Linked DNA regions of Kluyveromyces lactis. The protein of the gene in region 1 purifies or fractionates together with the protein of each later gene. This does not show direct contact. Links are inferred from orthologs where the notes say so. Each region holds a gene or a part of one and is shown on either strand. Other genes may lie near its edges. The genes, in order: ARC35 and ARC15.

Region 1 (2,982 bases):
AGCCTACCTAATTACTCGAGCCCGGAAGTCAAACTACCCCGCAATATTCTATCACGCATAATTCAAGTAGTTGGTTCAAACACCCTATTTACCTGCACCCACCTTACAGCTTGATCGTCCATAATCCAGTATAGTTGTTTGATATTTCAAAATAGGAAATACAACAACTACCTCAGTAAGGACTTTTCTCGTAATTCGGAACCCGCATAGTGCAGCTGGTGTTCCCAACGAAATGAACAAAATCTTTTAGGTTAAAAGATCTCTCAAACCATGCACATTTTCTGAACAATTTCCCGGACATCAGCAACAACACATATTCGATCACATGACTTCCGAATATTTTCAACTATGATTTTTCATCATCAGAAACTGACAAAAAATTATGAAGCAAATGTTGAATTGAAAGAGTTATATCAATCGGTCAGTGAATAAATGTTGGCGTAAGTTCAACTCTGAGTTTGACTTACGTGCACTGGATCTTAAGAAACAATCCTGTCAAAGATACCAATGTTCAAACAGGTTTTCGGATTGAGCAGTAGTCTGACTAGACTATCGTTGCGTAATGTTCGTTCAAGCATAGCATTTGCACCACCACTGCAACAACGTTCTTTCTCATATACTTCACCAATACAAGCCACGTTGAACCAAATAAAGAGAGGGGTCAAGCCTCCTGGCCGTAAGAAGATCACTGAATCCCCAGATTTGGAGGTATGCCCGATTCGTAAAGGAGTTGTGCTAAGAGTGATGGTATTGAAGCCAAAGAAACCTAATTCTGCTCAGAGAAAAGCTTGTAGAGTGAGATTAACCAATGGTAACATTGTTTCTGCATATATCCCAGGCGAAGGCCATAACGCACAAGAGCACAGTATTGTATATGTTCGTGGAGGCCGTTGCCAAGATTTACCTGGTGTGAAATATCATGTTGTCCGTGGTGCCGGTGATTTGGCCGGTGTTGTCAACAGAATCAGCTCCAGATCGAAGTACGGTGTGAAGAAACCAACAAAGGAGTAAGATACCAACAGTATTATATTCTGAATTATCAACATAAAATATATACTTATGTTTATAAACTAGACCTTCATGTAAATATGCGAATAATCTATCTACTGGTTGCTCAATCTTTATGGCCACGTGACCGAAATTTTGTTCGGATGGTTTTTCCATCATAGAAAAGTGCTGAAAATTTAGTTAACAACGATTTCAACGAAAAGGTGCCCCTATTGGAACAAACAGAAAGAAAGATTCATCATCTGCAAGGAATTGGGAAATTTCGAAGAGACTAAACCTGCTCAGTGTTGAGGAAACTTACAAGTTGATATTGTTCCAAGTCAATTGAAGAAAAGCTCATAGACTTGTTCGAAAAAAAAGCCTGGGTGAACACTTGTGAGCCTTCTAATATCAATACATAATAATGTTACACCTTAAACCATACAACCTATTGGTCCAAAAGACATTAACAGAAGCTTTGGAAGCTTACAACAATGGGTCTCCTTTAACTTTGGACAGAATCATCTCCGACTTTGATTATACAACGTTACACATCACCAACGATGGCACTGATAAGTCGAACCTATTAGTTTCCATCAGAACCAAGGCTACGCAATCTTGTAATGAGAGTGGGAACGATTTACAAGGGTTCTTGCAGGCAAAATTCGATGAAGTACCAGGTTTGGCTCTATCATCTGCTAAAAAGGAGGCCGGTTACGATTTTACCATTACTGTTGATCTATCTCAAATCACTGCGCAATCTATTGTGCAAGCATCTTTGTTTAAGATCCTTGTAATGTCATATCCATTCTATTTAGCGTTTGGCCAGAGTAATGCTCTTTCTCAATTGAATGAAATAGACCAAGTGGAAAAATCAAAGGAGGCCAGGGCTATGGTTATCAAATACAGAGATGATGAAAACATATACATCAAGCCGTCCTTTGATCGTATCACTGTTATATTCGAAACTATATTCCAAGATGAAACTGACAAAGTTTTCGGTAAAGTTTTCCTACAAGAATTCGTAGACGCAAGAAAGAGAAATAGATCCATCCAATCTGCGCCTCAAGTGCTATTCTCCCATGAACCACCTTTGGAAATTCAAGAAGTAGCCCAACAACACGCTCACGTTGCAGGTGCTAAGAAGTCTACCAGGAGATTCATCACATTTGTATTGTTCCCACGTCACTACTCCTCCGATGAACTAATGTTCACATCTGTGTCACAGCTTGCCCTATTCAGGAACTATTTCCATTACCATATCAAGTGTGCTAAGGCATACATGCATTCAAGAATGAGATATCGTGTTGATACATTCATCAAGGTCTTGAATAGAGCAAAGCTAGACGAAGAAACTGAATCCGATTCACGTAGAACAATCACCGGTAGAAAAATGGTCTACTAAGTAGAAATTGGTTTCAATAATGTGTTTAAAGTATAAAATAGAATGCTGCCGATGTAGCGATTTATATCACGTGACAAGTAGATGATCCTATTCAGATTTTTTTCCCTCCGTAATGCCATGCAATTGCTGGGCAATAAACGCTCGAGCCTTGAGTCAGTTCTAACACAACCAAAGAGGAATGGAAAAAAAAAAAAAAAGACCGGGTAAAACCTACCTGAGTGGAAAGAAAAAAAAAAACAACGCAACTCCGAGTCGGACCATTCCGTCCCAGTTTTAGAGTGCTTGAGAAGCTCAAGAAGCTTAATTTTCAATTTTCCTCACCCTTGTTGCAGCTGCGAAGTAAGGCACAAGGTAAATGGTACATGGCCTAACCAGAGTACTAACGCCGGTCAAGTTTGGGCTGGAATTAGCACTGCCCTGCCTTGCCCCTTCCTTTATCTGTCCAAACCCCACTTCACAATTCAGAACGGAATGACAGCTGGGCAAGCCTATACTGCCAATGTTCGCAAACTTGCATTCTGGAACCAAAACCCTACGGCCTTACCTGTTTAGCCATTCCTTACATGGTAATGCCATTTGTGCTTTTTTTT
Region 2 (2,063 bases), on another chromosome or scaffold:
CTTCCCTTCTATCTCTGCCTTGGCGCCCTCATCTTTTTCCTTGGCCTCTTCTTCTTTTTTATTATTTGTATCTTCTTCTTTTGTTACCGCTGTTTCCGTTGTCTCAGCAGTTTCAATATTTTTAGGTCTCTCTACGGAATTGGCCTCTTCATTTGCTGTATCATTCTCTGTTATGAACTTATCAGTCTCTTCTGAAGGTTTTGCTTCATCTTTATCATTGAGTTTGACCTTCTTCACAGGAGTTTCTGTGCTTTCTAATTCCGAATTCACCTCAGGAAGCGCACGTTTATTGCTATCGTTTAAAGTTTCTGGCATTGTGAAAAGCAGGAACAATATACTGGAGCCTTCTTGACAATATTATAACCCTTTCTTGGCATATGTCTGTGCTTTCAATAAGAACTGAATGTTTAAAACTAGTACTTTCTCTTTTTTTTTTTTTTGGAAATACTAACTCTGAGAGGTCCCAGTAATACTTAATAAAGGGCCTGCACTCCATGTGAACAAAGGCCAAACAAACAAAGATCCGTAATGATCGCCCATTGGTAGGTGAAACTGGATCATATACGTTAGAGTAAATATATCATACTAAATTAAGTAAAATCGTACTGTTATATAGTTCTTTATACAGTTCTTCTATCCGAGAGATAGTGAACGATTGGATTGACACCCGCAACTTGCGTTAACTTTTCGAACCATGCGAGAAGGATACCCCCATGCTTTTGACCCTCAGGTATAGACATACCCTTGTATAGGTATTTTATCAATGCGTCTTGTTGCTTGCGATCCAAGCGCTTAACTATATTAGCAATATCCACTTGTCTCACTTGGGTTAGCACCTCCAATATACCAGAGAAATATTGTGATTTCGCTTGTTCGTCGGCGTTGTATGGAGGATCAGTTGTGAATAGCTCAACAGCAGCTGCAAAATCACCAGATGATGTGTAAGAACGTAACTGTTGAATGGTTGGCTGTAACTCTTGTAAACTCACGGTATGTGAATATGGTGGTTTCAAATCATCCGCCGTTAATCTCCCACTTTCAGGATCGTAAGCATCGATATCAATTCTTCTCCAGTCTTCCATATTACTAGTTCAGAAGGCAGCTGCTTGGATGAATACGATAAGGATAATTCAGCGCTAATGCTTCCTGATAAAAGAAGTAGACCGGCCTGCAGTTATTTCGAGTATTTTAACCTAATCCATTTAAAGGTTTCCATTCAATATGAATCCCATTCAATAGTAACTTATAGGAGATATCCGGGTAATAAATCTGGAAACAGGGTAACTATGGTTTACAGCACTGGACCGATTGACTGTTTATCACTGACAGGAAGAACGATAAGCAGATGATAACATTATCTTCTTATACATATATATTAACTAAGTTCAAATTGATATAGATATACGGGTTATTCTTTGGTGGTTCCGTTTATTGAATAATCTTATTGTCTGGAATACCGTCGTATTCACCGTAACTCAAGGCCAGGTTGATGTTCTGTAAGCATTGAGTGGCAGCACCCTTCAATAAGTTGTCAATAGTAGCACAGACTACGACACGGTCTTTTGCATCATTTACCTTGAAACCACCAACAACTACTCCGTGAGTACCAGAAACGTCCTTAACTAACGGAATATCATCGGCAACATGTACCAACTTTTCGTTAGCGTAGAATTCGGTGTACAAGGCCTTAATTTGTTCTGAAGATAGTGAGTTCTTCTTAATAGGAATAGAAATAGTATGAGAAATACCTTGGAACCATTGGGCAACATGAGGAACAAATGCGACTTCCAAACCCAAACGAGTTGAAATTTCACGCTCATGGATATGGTTTGTTAAGGAGTAAGGAATTAGATTGTTGTTCAAGAATTTTGGATCATTCTTTGGAGATGGTGTAGTACCAGCACCAGAATAACCAGAAACACCAAAGACTGTGGGTAATCCTGTGATGTATTCCGATAGAGGAGCAATCGCTACTTGGGCACCGGTGGCGTAACAACCGGGGTTAGCAATCTTTTTAGCATTGGCAATTGCTTCTCTGTTGTTTAACTCTGGTAATCCGTAGC

The links.
Region 2: the proteins of ARC35 (region 1) and ARC15 purify together in Saccharomyces cerevisiae (affinity purification with mass spectrometry; 5 studies listed by BioGRID, with this or other methods). This does not show direct contact. The link is inferred for Kluyveromyces lactis from reciprocal best matches to the Saccharomyces cerevisiae genes ARC35 and ARC15.

Annotation. Positions count from the first base shown.
Region 1 is NC_006042.1:670,703-673,684, forward strand, and holds ARC35 (Arc35p), read left to right. Parts: upstream 1-1,411; coding exon 1,412-2,392; downstream 2,393-2,982. Other genes in the region: MRPS12 (mitochondrial 37S ribosomal protein uS12m), read left to right, coding at 508-1,011.
Region 2 is NC_006039.1:699,593-701,655, forward strand, and holds ARC15 (Arc15p), read right to left. Parts: upstream 1,083-2,063; coding exon 621-1,082; downstream 1-620. Other genes in the region: YRB2 (Yrb2p), read right to left, coding at 1-315; ARG56 (bifunctional acetylglutamate kinase/N-acetyl-gamma-glutamyl-phosphate reductase), read right to left, coding at 1,429-2,063. UniProt on the Saccharomyces cerevisiae protein: Functions as a component of the Arp2/3 complex which is involved in regulation of actin polymerization and together with an activating nucleation-promoting factor (NPF) mediates the formation of branched actin networks.